4 linked regions of the Arabidopsis thaliana genome follow. The protein of the gene in region 2 interacts with the protein of the main gene of each other region in a pairwise test. Each region holds a gene or a part of one and is shown on either strand. Other genes may lie near its edges.

Region 1 (4,827 bases), on a different chromosome or scaffold from region 2:
TATCCTCTAGTTTTTGGGAGATAATTACGTGGCTCGCTGCCTTTTTTTTTTTTTTCTTCCTCATGTCGGTAATTTTGGGTTTCGAATACAAGCAAATGAATTTTGAGCATTACATCACTGTTCCGAAGATCCTTAATTTGTTGGTTTTTATGTTCAAACTAATAAAACCATGCATGTCATTTGGCTTAATAACTTGATGTCATTCAAAAAGTAAATAAACTGGATAAACATCTTACGACTTCTTTTATCGGTCAGTGAAAAACATTATTACTAAACGCTGGTATTATAATAAACTGGATGACATTAAAGTTCATACTTCATTTTGTAATTAGAAAACTTCTTTCTATTTATATATTTCTAATCTAATTTATTTATTTTCCTTACAGTAATTTTAAAAATGAAAAAGAATCTTTGAATTGTAGTTAAATATATAAATCATAATGTGTAATTCTGTACTTTAATTTAAATTAATGAGGTAATATCATGGATAATCATTATTAATTTCTCTGACGTGTTGATAATCACATTATAATTATAGGATTCTCTTTTGTCCGGTACACATATGTGTCAGATTATTTAAGGAATGTACACACATTTAATGGAGAAAAGATAATGAGCTCATCGAAATAGTTGACTTTTTCACAATTTAGACATGAAATTTTTGTCTTTTATCAAATCCCAACTTGTTGGAAATTTGACACGTCAGCGAGATTGATCGATACGCACTTAGTCGTTTGACTTTTTCAAATACCCATCGCTACAAGAGTACGGAAATTTGCGTGCAACCACATTCTAATTATACGCATATCTACATATCAATCCACCGCACCGTCTAATCTACTCTATGATATTTTCAAGACCTTTTCAAAAATTCAGATCCGCTAGCTACTACGAAAATCTAAATGACTAAAATAAAACTCTTAATCGTTAACTAGATATGTTTCTATAATAATATATGTATATCATACTGTTTTATTTAGTTTGCCGTTTTTCTTTGTTCTAAAGTTTTTTTTTGGTGTGTTTAACACTAGTAATTTTTTTGTTCTTTTTAATGTTAAAATAGATATTTTCACCATCACATATACATTGACATACGTATCTAGGGTTTAGATGAAGACATGTACACACACGATATTGATATTTAACTATGTGTTTTTCCTTAATCAACGATTTCAATTTTTCACACCGAAAATGACATATGAAATCAATAAAATAGTTCTACTAAAAGTCCTATATATGCAATCGTAAGCAATTTGAAGAGACAACTAATGTGCAGCTAAGGCCACTCTAAATCCGACCGCCAAGGAGATCAATTAGTTTATTCACTAAAGGATCATCTTCCCCTTTTGTGAATACTATTTATTACCAAAACAAAACAAAAAAAACTATTCACAGTTACAATGACAAAGATAACCCTCCATAATTAATTAGGATCATAGACTAGTAACCATTCATATAGAAAATATCGTCGCCGTTACTTACGTAGCCTAAATGATAACTCATGCAGTCATGCTGTTACAGCAGTTCAAATTAAGTGTCCAGGTTATGACTTGGTGAAAGAGGACCAAACTTTTAAACCTTAAGAAAAGAAGAGGAAAAAAACAATTAGCCTATCCTGTATCACTGTATGTAACCAGACTTATGTTTGGTTTCCACGCAATTTGACGGATACATGTTTCTATGATAATAATAATGATAGTTTTATTACTAACACAACCATATTGTTGACTATCCATCCATAAATCATTAAATCGCAAGATGAGGGAAGGGTAGAGCGGTCATTTGGAAGGATATCGGCAACCTTTGGTGATAAGCGAGAGACTAGGAAGATGCTTGCGGCGAAAATGGATTCCTCGAAAATTAATATTTAAATCGATAGTTAACCGTTGAGAATCTCCAAAGAATGCTTTTTTCATTGTCAACACTGGCTAGGAACCCTATATAAGCCATCGTGTGATTAATATTCAGACATCGATCAAATAAACTTGAATCAAATCTCAAACTTGCAAAGAAACTTGAAATATTTTATAACAATGGGTGATTCTACTGGTGAGCCGGGGAGCTCCATGCATGGAGTCACCGGTAGAGAACAAAGCTTTGCTTTCTCGGTGCAATCACCAATTGTGCATACCGACAAGACGGCCAAGTTCGACCTTCCGGTGGACACAGAGCATAAGGCAACGGTTTTCAAGCTCTTCTCCTTCGCCAAACCTCACATGAGAACGTTCCATCTCTCGTGGATCTCTTTCTCCACATGTTTTGTCTCGACTTTCGCAGCTGCACCACTTGTCCCTATCATCCGGGAGAATCTCAACCTCACCAAACAAGACATTGGAAACGCCGGAGTTGCCTCTGTCTCTGGGAGTATCTTCTCTAGGCTCGTGATGGGAGCCGTGTGTGATCTTTTGGGTCCCCGTTACGGTTGTGCCTTCCTTGTGATGTTGTCTGCCCCAACGGTGTTCTCCATGAGCTTCGTGAGTGACGCAGCAGGCTTCATAACGGTGAGGTTCATGATTGGTTTTTGCCTGGCGACGTTTGTGTCTTGTCAATACTGGATGAGCACTATGTTCAACAGTCAGATCATTGGTCTGGTGAATGGGACAGCAGCCGGATGGGGAAACATGGGTGGCGGCATAACGCAGTTGCTCATGCCCATTGTGTATGAAATCATTAGGCGCTGCGGTTCCACAGCCTTCACGGCCTGGAGGATCGCCTTCTTTGTACCCGGTTGGTTGCACATCATCATGGGAATCTTGGTGCTCAATCTAGGTCAAGATCTGCCAGATGGAAATCGAGCTACCTTGGAGAAAGCGGGAGAAGTTGCCAAAGACAAATTCGGAAAGGTATATTTATCTATATAAATATATATTCCTTAATAATTTAGGCTGCTTATGTTACAGATGGATCAAAAGATTAACTCGTGATATCGTATAAATGTTGTAGATTCTGTGGTATGCCGTTACAAACTACAGGACTTGGATCTTCGTTCTTCTCTACGGATACTCCATGGGAGTTGAGTTGAGCACTGATAATGTTATCGCCGAGTACTTCTTTGACAGGTTTGTTTTTGATCTCGATTGGAAAATAGAAGAATTAAATTATAACATAAGAGTAAAACTAATGTATACATCATACATGGTTTGTCCAGGTTTCACTTGAAGCTCCACACAGCAGGGCTCATAGCAGCATGTTTCGGAATGGCCAATTTCTTTGCTCGTCCAGCAGGAGGCTACGCATCTGACTTTGCAGCCAAGTACTTCGGGATGAGAGGGAGGTTGTGGACGTTGTGGATCATACAGACGGCTGGTGGCCTCTTCTGTGTGTGGCTCGGCCGCGCCAACACCCTTGTAACTGCCGTTGTGGCTATGGTGCTCTTCTCTATGGGGGCACAAGCTGCTTGCGGAGCCACCTTTGCAATTGTGCCCTTTGTCTCCCGGCGAGCTCTAGGCATCATCTCGGGTTTAACCGGGGCTGGAGGGAACTTTGGATCAGGGCTCACACAACTCCTCTTCTTCTCGACCTCACACTTCACAACTGAACAAGGGCTAACGTGGATGGGAGTGATGATAGTCGCTTGCACGTTACCTGTGACCTTAGTTCACTTTCCTCAATGGGGAAGCATGTTCTTGCCTCCTTCCACAGATCCAGTGAAAGGTACAGAGGCTCATTATTATGGTTCTGAGTGGAATGAGCAGGAGAAGCAGAAGAACATGCATCAAGGAAGCCTCCGGTTTGCCGAGAACGCCAAGTCAGAGGGTGGACGCCGCGTCCGCTCTGCTGCTACGCCGCCTGAGAACACACCCAACAATGTTTGATCATACATTCCACCCACGGTGGAATGGTGAAGGATGATCGCATATAAGAATATGTCACACAGTGAAAAAAAAAAATGCAAATGTTATCAATGCTTGCATAACATTACTATCTATCTTTCATTTACTAAACAAACCTTTTGCTTTTTGCCTTGAAATCTTTTTATTATATATCAAAATATATCTCTATGTCTTGAGATTTGATTATTTTGCATATATCATTAATGATTTGATAATATTGGAACTGGAAACTCCTTTGTTCAATTCATTAAAGAATTACACCGCACAATAAAGACTATCATTGTATCCCTTAAGTTGGTAAGGTGGGCGAAGGTAGGGTTAAGAAATGATCATGACATTTACTTTATACTTAGCCTTGAGAGGTGACCAACTACTAAATTGTCTGATTTCTTATTATCTCTGATCCCTATATCAAACTCACGTAGAAGTAGAAATCCAGTGTATGTAGTTTTCATTTGGCGTTTATTTCGTCAGTTGGAAAGTAGGAAAAGTGAGTATTGTGGGATATAGATGTTGAGAATGGTAGCTTTGGCAGTGCTGAGTTTCCATGTTGTTGATGTTTCAATAGGATATTAATTGGAGATAATTTCAATAGTTTGCTCTAAACCCCTTAGTTGGCAATTCTTTTGACTTCCAAAGTTCATCATCCTGGTACTCCTTGTACACAATATAGTCATCACAATAGTTAACCGTCCGTAAAACCTATCAAATTGACCTTGTAATCAATAGGATCCTCAATGATTATAAATTCTGAACTTTTATTTTGGTACCATTTTGATGAGTCTAAACATGATCTCGAAATTATTGCTCTCAAACAGGAAATATTTTTACAGGTTTAGAACTGGTTTGTTTTGTATGTGCAGAAAGTTTTAGAACTGATAAAATATTTATTTTAACACAAATTCATCCGGATATTTGTATCTAAATGCCTTTCTAAAACGCATCTATAGGTGATGATAATATATAGAAGTTTTAAGGATTTGATGCGTATAAG
Region 2 (4,210 bases):
AAGCAACTTCCCATCGATCTGAACACAAGTAAAAAAAAAGTAAAGAAAGCTTTTGAATATGTACATACATCAGATCCAAGGGACACCATGTTTCTTACATTTTCAAGCTTTGAGCCAAGTTCCGCGACTTTCTTTTCTGCGATTTCAGCTCGAGTTTCCACTTCCAGACTTCTCTTGCGTTGCATTTCCACTTCTTCTCGTAGTTCAAGTATCTGCCAATGCAGAACTAAATTGAGGTAACAAAACAAGAAGGAAATACACACCTCAAACTACAAAACACCAACCTGTTTCTGAAGTTCATAAGCCGTTCCTTCTGCTTCACTGGATTCTCAGTCTAAATAAAAAAGCATCAACAGCAACAAAAGTGTAAATAAGTTTCTTCTATACATAACAATTTTGAATACATGAACCAAAGATTAATTAAAAATATCACTTGAAGAGATCCAACCACATCAAAGATGATGCAGCTTGAGTAATTGTTAACTCTTTCCAACTTTGGAAAGAGACAAAACGTCAAAGTGATTTCCAGAAACAGAGAACGGAAGCTCAAAAGTCTCTCTTGTGCCAAATATATTAAACCCTAAAAAATTCAACTTCTATCCGAATTTCTCAGAAACAAAACAAAGACACATAACTTCATATGAAATTCCAGTGAACGGTTACCTGAGGAAGAACCTTATTTGTTATCAGTGTAAAATAACAGAGAAGAGGTACGAGTAAAAGAAACAAAAGTGACTTAGGAAACGCCATTGTTGGAGACTGCTCACTGGAAGATAGAGAGTCGTGAGAGACAGTGATAAAGCGTATCAAGTCATATAGAGGGTCTTCTTATCTTTTTCTTTAACATGTGAGGGTTGAGTTAATTATGCGGGCTGATTATAGAGTTTTTAAATTGAATTTACGATTGTTTTTTTCTTACATATAAATGCAATCTATATTTGTGTTCGGAATAACCCATCTAATATTACTCCATGTATTAAACTAAAATATTTTGCATGTTTTGGTAGATCAACTTTTTGAATGATCACAGACCTACAAACATCAACCCTCTAATTATCCAATTTTACCATAATCCACGAGCTCTTAAAATTCATTTTTAATATATATAATTAAAATAGTTCAAACAGTTTAAACTTTGTGACCAAGTTAAAATATTTAAAATAGTTTGACTTTGTGATCAACATATTTAAATATAATCAATATTTTCATTTTTAAGCCGGAAAATCACGTCTTACAAATATATTTCTGATAGACACACCTATAATTCCAAAATTTTGACTTTTAAAACAAACAAAAAAAAATCTCATTAATACCACTACATACGTTTTTACAAAAATACCATTAAAAGATATTTTTTCAAATACTAAAAAAAACTAAAACTAAACTTTAAACCTATAAAACACTAAATCCTATAAAGTTTATATTCGAGTATAAACCTTAAAAGTTCAACCCTAAATCCTGAAAGCAAGACCCTAAACCCAAACTCAAACTTTTAAATTATAAATCCTTAAACAAAATCATTTTTAGTCTTTATGGTATTTTTAGAGTTAACAGTTTGTAGTTGTATTTTTGAAAAAAAAACACTAGTGATAGGTTTTTAGAATAAAAACTTAATTTAGTGGTATTGAGGATATTTCTCTAATAAAAATTATTCACAAAAAATATGTATTAAAGCAAAGTGCTATGCTTATTCCATGCAATCTTTTTTGAAAAAAAAAATATTTTCTAACCGATTAGTATATCTTCTAGAGGATTCATAGAAAAAGAGGATACAATTACAATATGTAGAGTATCTTATAGGTGACGTAACCATGAAATATAGAATTCTTTGGAATCTGAAACTGAATTATTCAGTTGATAAATGATAAAACAAATACTCATATCTCATCCTTTGGCATGTTTAGGAGCCATCTCTCAGCTGGACGGAGACAACACAGACACTTGTGCCAGAGAGGGAACACAATCTTCCCAAGTCTTCGAAAGGGTAATCTCAGACCAAACCGTTGACTTTGTTCTCATTAATTGTTTATGCTAAACCACAAGATATTTGGATCAAAAGTATTACCATAAATCACTATATAAAGACATAAATGTGCACCCCACTTTTCTTATCAATCATAAAAGTCAGCAAAACACAAGGCATATTCCTCTTCTCTTCCTCAGCCTTATTTTTCTGATATTCAGTTTCAAGGATATATCCATGGCGATCCAGAAGATCCTCTTTGCTTCACTTCTCATATGCTCACTGATCCAATCCATCCACGGGGCGGAAAAAGTAAGACTCTTCAAAGAGCTGGACAAAGGTGCACTTGATGTCACCACTAAACCCAGCCGAGAAGGACCAGGTGTTGGTATGTATAATTCTCTTCAAAACATCTATCATTTGCTACTTCATTAGCCATGCCTTATAAATGTGCGATTTTGCTCTAATACCATGTTAGATTTTAAAGCTTTATGAATGTTAAGACAAATTTTTATGAGTGTTGGAAACATTAGTTCTCTTTAGTCGTTTATTACAACATCATTAGATCTTATCCTATTAATTAGAATTACTTAGAATTAAGTGATATGAATGATAGTATGATCTAATATCAATTTACAAGAATAAGTTGGAATTAATATTTTGAATGTTTGGTCTTTAGTTTTGGATGCCGGCAAGGATACGTTGAACATTACATGGACGCTAAGCTCGATTGGGTCTAAAAGAGAGGCTGAATTTAAGATCATCAAAGTTAAGCTATGCTACGCTCCACCTAGCCAAGTTGACCGACCATGGCGCAAAACCCATGACGAGCTCTTCAAAGACAAGACCTGCCCACACAAGATCATAGCCAAGCCTTATGACAAAACACTTCAATCAACTACTTGGACTCTTGAGCGTGACATCCCCACCGGAACCTACTTCGTTCGTGCCTACGCGGTTGATGCCATTGGCCATGAAGTTGCCTATGGACAGAGCACCGACGATGCCAAGAAAACCAATCTCTTCAGCGTTCAGGCTATCAGTGGCCGCCACGCGTCCCTAGATATTGCCTCCATCTGTTTCAGTGTCTTCTCCGTCGTGGCTCTTGTCGTCTTCTTTGTCAATGAGAAGAGGAAGGCCAAGATAGAGCAAAGCAAATGAGTCGTTTACTTTGCGTATTTGTGACGTTGAACCCAAAAAAAGTTGACTTTGAACTTTCTTGTTTACCAATTCCTTTTGTCTTGTTGCACACTTCTTCTTTCTTATATGCTTTTATTTATGTGTTTGTACAATTAAGCCATTGATATGGAACAAAACTAATCCTACGGTGGTGATGCGTTTGTGTGCTTTATATATTTTTTATACACCTTTTGATATATTCTTACACACTTTTTTCACAAAGATTGATATTTGCATAATTTGTGGTAATCATTCTCAAAATACGGTATATATACTTCACCTCTTACTTTCAAAGAGAAATCATAAGTATAACTAAGCAATAATTCTATATATAGGGAATTATGATATAAAATTTATCCAAATTTTCAAAATATTAAACAAATATCTAACAAGTACCTAAAAATTTAAAATTTCAAGAAATGAATGGAGTATAATAAAGGTTCCTATAATAAAAGCTGGAAAAAAAATGTAGTATAACAAAATAACAATACGTGACTTTTTTTTTTGTCGTCACAAAACATAACTTTTAAATGCAAAATGGAACTTTGTAATATGAAAAGTTGTAAAGAGATTGAAAGACACCATTAACGTTTGTCGTCTAAGCCTTGATATGCTAAAAGTGATAAGCATGATGAATTGCTGACAGCGATCCCGATCATCATTAAGATTAGGTTGTCATCAAGATCTAGTTTGGGGTTACTCAAAATGTCAAACATGTCGACACATAATAAGTTTACTATATTTGTAACTATATACTAGTAATAGATGCACTGAGGTCAGCCAATGTGAGTGTGATTATAATAATACTAATACGCAAATGCATACGTACAATACTGAGGCTTAAATGTGAATACAGCTTTCGTCAAAAAGTTTAATATTTCGTTCATGCAAAACTCATTGTTATGCTGCTGTTTAATTGATGTAACTATAAAGTTTTATAAATTCGTTTTTCTGCTAGTATACAAAAAAAAAAAACAAAAAAAAAAATTTGGAGTTGTTGCCCACCGTCTATCTCATCAACCAAATCGAGCCACTTGTTTGGAAAACCAAATGGTCATAATCAATATG
Region 3 (4,724 bases), on a different chromosome or scaffold from region 2:
GATAACATTGTCAAATGTGATATAAATTAGTTAGATCTTGTTGTTGTGCATTAGCTTTTTGAATCGAATATAATATCACTAGAAATCTAGCAAGTTGCAACTACTTTTAAGAGAAAAACGTACACTTTATACAAGTCAAAGACCATCCCGATGAAAGATCAATGGTTACGAGTTTTTGTTTGACTTATCCCGCATTATTGGAATTTTCTTTACCTATAAAGATAGGACTTTTCTTTACTTGGTTACGTAAAATGCACCAAAAAAAAAGAAGACAAAAGAATTAAAGAAACATGTTCTTTACCTATAATTCACTACAAACTATTAAACTAAATAAATGACAAAATGATATAAATTTTTTTAACAAATGCATCAATCTGTATGGACTAACTAAAATTATAGTAATTATTAGGCTATTCATAAAAAACAAATTGAGTTTTTAATATTCAATATAGTGACATAGTGTGTAACAAACTAATTAATAAAGATTATCTAGATGGTACGGGGATCGAGGAATATGTAAGAAAGATAACTTATCGCTACATTCAATTCATTTGATAACTTTCAAAAGCTGATGTTACTTGTTTCGTTCTTTTTGGTTGCCAAAATTTTGCTCTCTGCAATTTTAGTTTTTTTTCTAAAATATGAGTTTACGTTCCAAATAAGAAATGATCGACCTTGTTTTAAACCCCCAAAAATAAATAAAGATCAAGAGATTTTCATATCTTATGGTATTATTGGGTAATTGAAAGCAAAAAAAAAAAAATGAATTTTTGAATAAAGTTGATACAACTATTTCCAAAAGTAAAATTAATTTGATGAGTCGACCACATGGAATACACAAAAGACAAACTGCAATTATTTTTAGAAGAATGAGCTTTTTACAATGAACCGTACGATCTCATAGTCTCATTGACCTTTGGTTGATGTCAAATGTCAAACATTTGTCTCTCCATAAAGATATTCTTGTACTTAGATGACTCTATAACAAAAAAATAAAAAGAATAAGAAGATATTCTCGTAAATTAACAATATTTATATATAATGTATAAGTATAACCATTAAACAAAAAGATCAACAATATTTTCAAAATATTATAGTAAGCTGGAAACATCAATGCATTAGGTAAGACACATGCATGTTGTACATTAGCTACGGATGCGCAAAATGGACGCTAAGCCGGCGGTGAAAGAGACACGTTGTTCTTCTGCATTTTATTCCATTCGTACGTAATAGTTAATTCTATAAAGTTATATAATGTTTCGACTTGATAGAGATATGGTACAAGTAGTCAATGAAACGTATTTTCTAATTAAGTTAAGTTATAAACATTTTAATAGTAAATGGAGCACGTAATTTGCATTATGCAAAAACACACATATGCTTAGTTCTAATAGGATATTCTCTTTTCCGAATGAACTATTTTTGGAGCGGTGGACTTTTTTTTTTTATTAACCGATATTAATTAGATAAAATTTAGGAGAGCCATTCATAATAATGTTATTTATATATGTTATATGATGCAGTTCGGTATAGATTTTTCGTGTCAAATTGTCCGTTTTGATATTTGCACTACGAAAGATTAAAGATAAAGAAAAGCTAGTGAACTTTCTCTTATCGTTTCGTAATTTTTCTTCTGATCATTCGGTTATACGTGAACTTTCTCTTATCCTTCGTAATTTTTCTTCTGATAATTCGGTTAGAGAAAATATATACTATCTTCGACCCTCAACACAGTTTATTAACAAAATATATAAATAAATCAGGACTTTTTTTTTTTTTTTGCTATTGAAAACGTTTGCAAAAACCTACAAAGAGACTACATCTAAAATGTACAAGAGACTTTACATATTGATTGTTTTCTACCAATAAATTTCGTAATACTATTTCACCAAAAAAAAAATTAAAACAAAAAGCCATCGCTCATTTCATTTCACGTAGTATTATTCAACTCTTATTATTGGATCCACCTAACCGTACCCACCAAAAATCTCTATAAATACTATGCAACTCATCTTCTCCAACTTACACCAAAAACAGAAAACAACAAAGGCCACAAAGAAGAAGAAAACCTTCTTCAACGTTTAAAGTCTCTTCTCTCTCTCTCTCTTAACTTCTCCCATTTTCTTTGAACTAAAGATCAATGGCTCACAACCATTCTAATGAAGACGGCTCTATTGGAACCTCCTTGCATGGAGTCACGGCAAGGGAGCAAGTCTTCTCCTTCTCCGTCCAAGAAGATGTCCCTTCATCTCAAGCCGTCCGAACAAACGATCCAACGGCTAAGTTTGCCCTACCAGTGGACTCCGAACATAGGGCAAAAGTGTTCAAACCACTATCATTCGCTAAACCACATATGAGAGCCTTCCACTTAGGATGGATCTCTTTCTTCACTTGCTTCATCTCCACCTTCGCAGCCGCACCTCTAGTCCCCGTCATTCGCGACAATCTCGACCTGACCAAAACCGACATCGGAAATGCTGGAGTTGCATCAGTTTCCGGCGCCATTTTCTCGAGACTCGCTATGGGTGCTGTATGTGACCTTCTAGGGGCACGTTATGGAACCGCCTTCTCACTTATGCTTACAGCTCCAGCAGTTTTCTCCATGTCGTTCGTAGCTGACGCGGGAAGCTACTTAGCCGTAAGGTTCATGATCGGTTTTTGCTTAGCAACGTTCGTATCATGTCAGTACTGGACGAGTGTTATGTTCACTGGAAAGATTATCGGACTCGTTAACGGATGTGCTGGAGGGTGGGGAGATATGGGAGGAGGAGTGACTCAGCTACTAATGCCAATGGTCTTCCACGTCATCAAACTCACCGGAGCCACTCCCTTCACGGCTTGGAGGTTCGCCTTCTTCATCCCCGGCATTCTTCAGATAGTTATGGGTATTCTCGTTCTCACTCTCGGCCAAGATCTTCCCGATGGTAACCTCAGTACTCTCCAAAAGAGTGGTCAAGTTTCTAAAGACAAATTCTCCAAGGTAATATATTAAACATGATCAATATTTTTAGGACAATACTAGCAATAATGCATGTGGTTCTAATTACAATTTTGTTTTGTTTAATAGGTCTTTTGGTTCGCTGTGAAAAACTATAGAACATGGATCTTATTCATGCTCTATGGATTTTCTATGGGAGTTGAATTAACGATCAACAACGTTATATCTGGATACTTCTACGATAGGTTTAACCTTACGCTTCACACAGCTGGTATTATAGCAGCCAGCTTTGGTATGGCAAACTTCTTTGCCCGTCCTTTTGGTGGCTACGCTTCAGATGTAGCTGCACGGCTCTTCGGTATGAGGGGACGGTTATGGATCTTGTGGATCTTACAAACTGTTGGAGCTCTCTTTTGCATCTGGCTTGGTCGTGCTAGTTCACTACCTATAGCTATCTTAGCCATGATGCTTTTTTCCATGGGCACACAAGCTGCTTGTGGAGCTCTCTTTGGTGTTGCTCCTTTTGTTTCCCGCCGTTCTCTTGGACTTATCTCGGGATTAACTGGTGCTGGTGGAAATTTTGGGTCGGGAGTTACTCAACTTCTTTTCTTCTCTTCCTCGAGGTTTAGTACGGCGGAAGGACTATCGTTGATGGGCGTTATGGCTGTTGTGTGCTCTCTTCCGGTTGCGTTTATACATTTTCCGCAGTGGGGAAGCATGTTCTTGAGGCCATCACAAGATGGAGAGAAATCAAAGGAAGAGCATTACTATGGAGCGGAATGGACAGAGGAAGAGAAGAGCTTAGGACTACACGAAGGAAGCATTAAATTTGCTGAAAACAGCCGGTCAGAGAGAGGCCGCAAGGCGATGTTGGCTGATATTCCAACGCCGGAAACCGGATCTCCGGCTCATGTCTAGTGAAGGATAGTCACATTACATCTTTTTCCACATATAAATAACCCTCAAACTTAGCTTTATGTTTGCATGTTTTATGTTCCTCTTATGAGAGATGTACCGAGTAAGATCCTGACTTGATAAGTGAGGTTCAGTGAGCTCGGTGCTCATGATGTACAATGTCGTTTGATATAAGACTTATGCATCAGTTTTCTCTCTGTTTTATCAACAAGCCGTGTCTTTAAAAGTCTTCCAAGATCATATTATTGATTTAACAAAATCGATCAAATACTGAAAATGAGAAGAGTGTTTTGAGGCACAACTAGTCATACCTTAAGAAGAAGCAATTGACTTTAGTAATCTTTACGTCTCAGAAACAGATCACATTAAAGAATCTGGAAAGAGTAAGAAGCAACTTAACTAGTATGACAGGTGAAGATTGCAAATGTAAAACTTAAAGTTGTATGAAAGTTTTCAAACATTGCAGAATCTTTCATAAATGAAACAAAACAAGAAAGCTATGCTAAACCTTTGAATCGGTTTCTGAAGAAAAGAGTTTAACGTACTTGTAAACTCTGCGTAAGGAGCTAGATGCTTGTCTTTCCACTACCACCACATATCATACAAGATCTCGTGGAAGAACATTTAGTGCAATAGCTCCATTTCTTGGGAAGCCTAAGAATGTGTGTTTATCGACAATCAATGAACGAATATCGATGAGATTGGAGCGAAAGAACACCGAGGGAGTTAATTAATTACCCGGCTGTATATCGCGTGGCCATGTTTTTAGCTGCAAGTCTTGCTTTCTCAGCATTTGCATCTGATAGTTTCTTTAATACAAATCCTTCACCTTTGCATTCAGGACATATTCCTGAACCGAGACAAGCTTCAC
Region 4 (5,426 bases), 4.0 Mb from region 2:
GAGTACTAGTTAAAAATGTGTGTTTACTAATCAGAAAGTTTCGGATAAGACAAAAAGTTGGTTTACAATAAAAAGTTTTGCCTAGTATTCATTTTCGGCATTCGACCCATAACTGAAAACTCCACAGATATAGAACAAAAACTAAAATGATAACAATCCAATATGACATAACTTTGTTGCTCAATCAAAAGTTGACTCATAAAGTTTCATACTAGTTATGAGATTATCCGGTTAGAAGGAATCGCCGCAACAAAACTACAAAAGTAAAACCAAGTTTTAAGAAAAGTAAAACAAATCATAATGGGCTAATATGTTGATCAAATTCTGAGAAAGAAATTGAAATCTAATTGGGATAAATGGGCTTTCTGAAAAGTCTATATCACTCAGACCGTATCATTTTTTGAACATAGAGTTTTACTAAAACAAAAAATGCCACATGATCTAGAGAAGTGATCTAATTTGGCTCGATGGGCTATTTCGAACTTTGATTATGGTACATTAAAACTAGGAAAACGAAGATTATAAACAAAGACTGATATAGACCACACTTTGTCACATTGAGGTTATAGTTCAAACAAATTAATCGACGTGATACTGAAAATAAATACGAAATTTAAAAAAACAATATAATTGTTACGAAATTACATGAAGAGTAGCATATCCTTTAAAAGAAATTAAAGCATGCAATTCGATCAACTAATTACACATTTGGAGAAATATATAGAAACTGATACAACATGTACATTTAAAAACTCTTAAACGTGTTCCGGCGGAGGAGACGGTGCAGAAGCCACGCGCCGTCCACGCTCCGATCTACTATTCACGGCGAACTTCAAACTCCCTTCATGCATACCCTTTCGCTTCTCGGTCTCTGTCCACTCTTTCATGTAATAATACTCCTCCGTAGACTTCACTTCATCTTCCGTGGAAGGCAAAAACATGCTTCCCCATTGCGGGAAGTGCACTAAAGTGACGGGTAATGTACACGCCATAATCATCACCCCCATCCATGTCAGCCCTTGTTCCGTGGAGAACGTTGAGGTCGAGAAGAATACGAGTTGGGTCAAACCAGAGCCGAAGTTTCCACCAGCTCCAGTAAGACCAGAGATGATCCCTAAGGAGCGGCGTGAGATGAAAGGTATGATAGCAAAGGTAGCTCCACAAGCGGCTTGAGCGCCGAGAGAGAAGAGGATCATGAAGACAACCGCGGTCGGGAGCGTGGTGGCTCGGCCTAGCCATAGGCAGAAGAAACCGCCTAAGGTTTGGATGATCCATAGGGTCCAGAGACGGCCTCTCATGCCGAAGCGTCTAGCCGCAATATCTGAGGCCCAACCACCAATAGGACGGGCAAAGAAGTTTGCCATACCAAAGCTTGCCGCGATTATACCGGCGGTATGAAGCTTAAGATGGAACCTGAAAAATGATCGCCATGTATTGAGTCTTTGATCCATAGAAGTAATTTATATATTTAGGGTCTACTCGGTAACAAATAAATGAAATGTAAGTAGTGGATTTACAAAAACAGAAATGTAAAGAAAGCTTAACAAGAATCATTTTCATGAGTAGAATACATTTTTCAAAAATATATGTTTTTTGGCTAAAACATTGTGGTAGTAAATCGACATGCAAGGTATCAACAAATTTGAGTTTGAGTTTTACTGTCTACTACAATTAACACGCGGCATTGACGTTAATTAAATTGATTTTAATGGTTAGGAAAAAACCAAAATCCTTGTATATTGCAATAATAATAGTACTATATATGCTAAAAGCAATCAAACCCTTGTTATTATTGTTTATACTTTAGAGACTGACTGACTATGGATTCGATAAATTATATACCAGTTTTAATAATTATACCTGTCGAAAAAGTACTCAGCGATGACGTTATCGGTTGTGAGCTCTACTCCCATGGAGTATCCATATAGCAGCACGAAAACCCATGTCCTATAGTTCGTGATCGCGTACCATAAAACCTGGTTAATTTGTCCACCAGAAAACTGTGAGTCTTACTCTTAACCAAATAAAAAGATCTATAACAAAAAAAAAAAAGAGAAAACAAAAAATCTATGGAAGAGTATTATAAGGATTTCGCTTTTTCTATATGAAAACGTAATTGTTTTTTTTTTTTTTTTTTAGTTAGTCGAATCGCTTTCTTGGATTAATTTAATGTCTCTATCTAAATGTTAATCTAAGATCTATATCAGAACAACCTTCTTTATATATTCAATGAAAATAATATAATTTAGACAACGATCTGCAGACCCTAATATATAAGACTAAGAATCAAAGGATCCAAGAAGAATTAACATTTATTTTACTTAAGTACTAATAAAGTACCTTTGAGAACTTGTCTTTAGTAACTGCACCTTTCTTCTCGAGTGTGCTTCTATTACCATCAGGGAGGTCTTGCCCTAGAGTCAAGACCAAGATCCCCATGATGATGTGCATCCACCCGGGGACGAAGAAAGCCATCCTCCATGCGGTGAAGGACGTGGACCCTAACCGTCGGATGATCTCATAGACCATTGGCATGAGCAACTGAGTGACCCCACCGCCCATGTTCCCCCACCCTGCCGCTGTCCCGTTCACTAGACCTATGATCTGACCATTGAACATTGTGCTCATCCAATACTGGCATGACACGAAAGTCGCCAGGCAGAACCCGATCATGAACCTCACCGTTATGTACCTATATATGGCCAAAATATTGTTAGAAACCCACATTAAGAATAATCCATTATATAAACTACTTTCCTTATTGTCAATTAATTTTGAGATGAAATCCTTTGGTTTTTTAGAAAAATGCTTTTAAAATTGTTTCAATAACTGCATATCATATGTACATTAGTACATATATTTATATAGGACTAAGTGAAGTTAATCTTAAGTTTTTTGAGAAATTTTACAATTCACAAGAATGCTTACCCTCCGGCACCACCAACGAAAGACATGGAGAAGACGGTTGGAGCAGAGAGCATGACGAGGAAAGCACAGCCATAACGTGGCCCAAGGAGATCACAAACTGCTCCCATAACAAGCCTAGAGAAGATACTGCCAGAGACAGAAGCAACACCAGCATTTCCGACATCTTGTCTTGTGAGATTAAGGTTATCTCTAATGATGGGGACAAGAGGAGCAGCAGCGAAAGTGGAAATGAAGCAAGTGAAGAATGAGATCCAAGCAAGATGGAAAGTTCTCATATGTGGAGCTTCAAAGGATAAGAGTTTGAAGACTTTGGCTTTGTGTTCGGTGTCCACGGGGAGAGAAAATTTTGCTGATGAGTCGGAAGGAACTGCCGGAGACTCGACAGAGAATGCATAGCTTTGTTCTCTGCCGGTGACTCCATGCATTGAGCTTCCCGGTTCACCAAAACCATCGGCCATTTTGTGAATATTTTTTTATGTTTTTTTCTTGTGGTCTTGGTTTAGGGAACAAGAAGGAGAAGAATGGTTTTATATAGAGATACGAAAGTTGACTTCGTAAGAGCCGATGGAGATTCGAAAAGGCTATAAGTGGGATTCGTTTTACGTAAATGATACTATAATAGTATAGTTCTTAACGATAATTAATGATTCAAAGTTGTTTATGTGAGATTGATTACAATTATACAAGTTGTGTCTTTATATTAATAGTATGGAATATTCACTTTCGCCGCGAGCATGCAAACACGAGAATTTAGCCTGGTCATACGTCCCAAAGGTTCACTTTCACTTATATTCCAATTTAGTATTTATCAACAATATAATATTACTAAACTGTCCATATATCTAGGAAGTTTTTTTTTTTTTTTTTTTTCTCAAACGAGAAACTACTTTCTGGTTCTGTTTACAACGATTTCTTTTCATGTCTAATACAGCAAATCCTCATAGAGTTTACTATCAATATAATAAAGATCGGCGGTATAATTTGAAACTTTATATGTCGCAGCGCATGATGTAATCTCTTTTCTATATGATTCCTTTTCTTTCTAAGTTTTTTTTTCTCAGATAAAAAATAAATAACATAGTCTTACAGTTACAGAAAAAAAAAATCATGTTTACTTCTTAAAATCATTATTTAATATATAATTTTGTTTTGCTATGAATGTTAGTATCATGAAAATGAAATGTAAAGATATTACAAAAGAGCATTACCTAAAGAAAATTAACGATAAAAATCGTTAAACTTGGGTGAAGTAATTAAATCCAAAGAATCATGAGATTTTGGCATTTTGCCAACGCTTTTTGCGTTGCTGTGGTGGTATTTCGAACCTCGATCGATGTTTTCAGAGATTGTACCATGAGGCATTATCAACTGCGAGTTATCAAGTCTATTCTCTATTTAATAAGTTTATAATTATAGCTCCATACTCATGGAATAAATCCACGAATTTTTATTAGGTGATTTTCCTTGAAGTTTGTAAGCTTAACTACTACAGACTTCGGAGATTAATCTAAGAAAATTTCATTGTAATTTTTTTTTTCTTGGTAATGAGCTATTTCCACATGATGGGATGCAATAATCGATCCATATTTTTTTTTAAAAAGAGAAATAAAAATCAATCCATATTCATACATGTGAACGAGTCCGGTGGGTCCTCTCTCTCTCTATGTGACTATGTCTTTGCATGGATTCAAAGGTTCCATTTGATTTTTTTTTTTTTTTTGTTAATATAATAGAATGTTATTGAAATAAACAAAATAATATATAGATTTTCACTTATTAAACTAAAGTTGTGATGATGTAATCAGATCCCTAATTATGCTTAGGAAGATTGTAACAGCAATAACAGTTGTACCTTCACAAATAAAAACCTTTTTTGTCCTTAAGAAACTCCAGAGGAAACGTGCAACAGTGCTATTGTTTGATCTTGTTTACCTTTAACATTATATTAAGTCCATTATTCTTAATTCGTAATGAGTTAATGACTTTTATGTTTTGTGAACGAGAACTTTTTTCTAGTTAGCACTTTTGTGCTTTAGTTTTTTTTTTAAAAGAGAAATCTTCATTAAGATAAATATCTATTCCATAACTTATTTCGTATGTACATATTGTGGAATGATGAGTTTTGACGATCATTTGAAAGTAATTTCTGAAGAAACGAAGAAGCCAAAAACTATAAAAAGAATCTTAGGATTGTCAACTATAGTTAGCAACATGCTAGTTACGATGCCAGCAGATTTACAGGCGCTCACAAATAATTTTATGATTGTATATGTACCAAAATGTGAATCGTACGTGTCTATAAGACTAAAGTAGTGGCCCAACGATTCCAAGCCAGATTCTCTGGATTCCAATAGATTATTGAACTAAATTCGATGATGTCATCTTAATTATATTATTTTATCATCGAGTCCATCTTAAGTTGAAAGTTTTAAACTATTATATAGTACTATAAATCAATTATAGAATTAATTTACTGTTTTTCACTTAAAACGTTAAAA

The links.
Region 1: the proteins of WR3 (region 2) and NRT2:1 interact in a two-hybrid assay, tested with the Arabidopsis thaliana proteins (one study listed by BioGRID).
Region 3: the proteins of WR3 (region 2) and NRT2.6 interact in a two-hybrid assay, tested with the Arabidopsis thaliana proteins (one study listed by BioGRID).
Region 4: the proteins of WR3 (region 2) and NRT2.4 interact in a two-hybrid assay, tested with the Arabidopsis thaliana proteins (one study listed by BioGRID).

What each region holds. Positions count from the first base shown.
Region 1 is NC_003070.9:2,522,106-2,526,932, forward strand, and holds NRT2:1 (nitrate transporter 2:1), read left to right. Parts: upstream 1-1,917; 5' UTR 1,918-2,033; coding exon 2,034-2,843; intron 2,844-2,943; coding exon 2,944-3,059; intron 3,060-3,148; coding exon 3,149-3,815; 3' UTR 3,816-4,217; downstream 4,218-4,827. UniProt on the Arabidopsis thaliana protein: Involved in nitrate transport, but does not seem to be able to mediate transport by its own. Acts as a dual component transporter with NTR3.1. Acts as a repressor of lateral root initiation under high sucrose/low nitrate conditions.
Region 2 is NC_003076.8:20,434,412-20,438,621, forward strand, and holds WR3 (nitrate transmembrane transporter), read left to right. Parts: upstream 1-1,768; 5' UTR 1,769-1,896; coding exon 1,897-1,898; exon of another isoform or gene 1,899-1,984; intron 1,985-2,014; exon of another isoform or gene 2,015-2,200; coding exon of another isoform or gene 2,201-2,202; coding exon 2,203-2,351; intron 2,352-2,642; coding exon 2,643-3,124; 3' UTR 3,125-3,315; downstream 3,316-4,210. UniProt on the Arabidopsis thaliana protein: Acts as a dual component transporter with NTR2.1. Required for high-affinity nitrate transport. Acts as a repressor of lateral root initiation. May be involved in targeting NRT2 proteins to the plasma membrane.
Region 3 is NC_003074.8:16,476,803-16,481,526, reverse strand, and holds NRT2.6 (high affinity nitrate transporter 2.6), read left to right. Parts: upstream 1-1,967; 5' UTR 1,968-2,140; coding exon 2,141-2,980; intron 2,981-3,067; coding exon 3,068-3,856; 3' UTR 3,857-3,966; downstream 3,967-4,724. Other genes in the region: AT3G45050 (uncharacterized protein), read right to left, coding at 4,420-4,507, 4,592-4,724. UniProt on the Arabidopsis thaliana protein: Involved in high-affinity nitrate transport. Required for the nitrate uptake-independent plant growth promotion and lateral root response to the rhizospheric Phyllobacterium.
Region 4 is NC_003076.8:24,442,356-24,447,781, reverse strand, and holds NRT2.4 (nitrate transporter 2.4), read right to left. Parts: upstream 3,418-5,426; 5' UTR 3,387-3,417; coding exon 2,929-3,386; intron 2,693-2,928; coding exon 2,341-2,692; intron 1,977-2,340; coding exon 1,861-1,976; intron 1,414-1,860; coding exon 756-1,413; 3' UTR 655-755; downstream 1-654.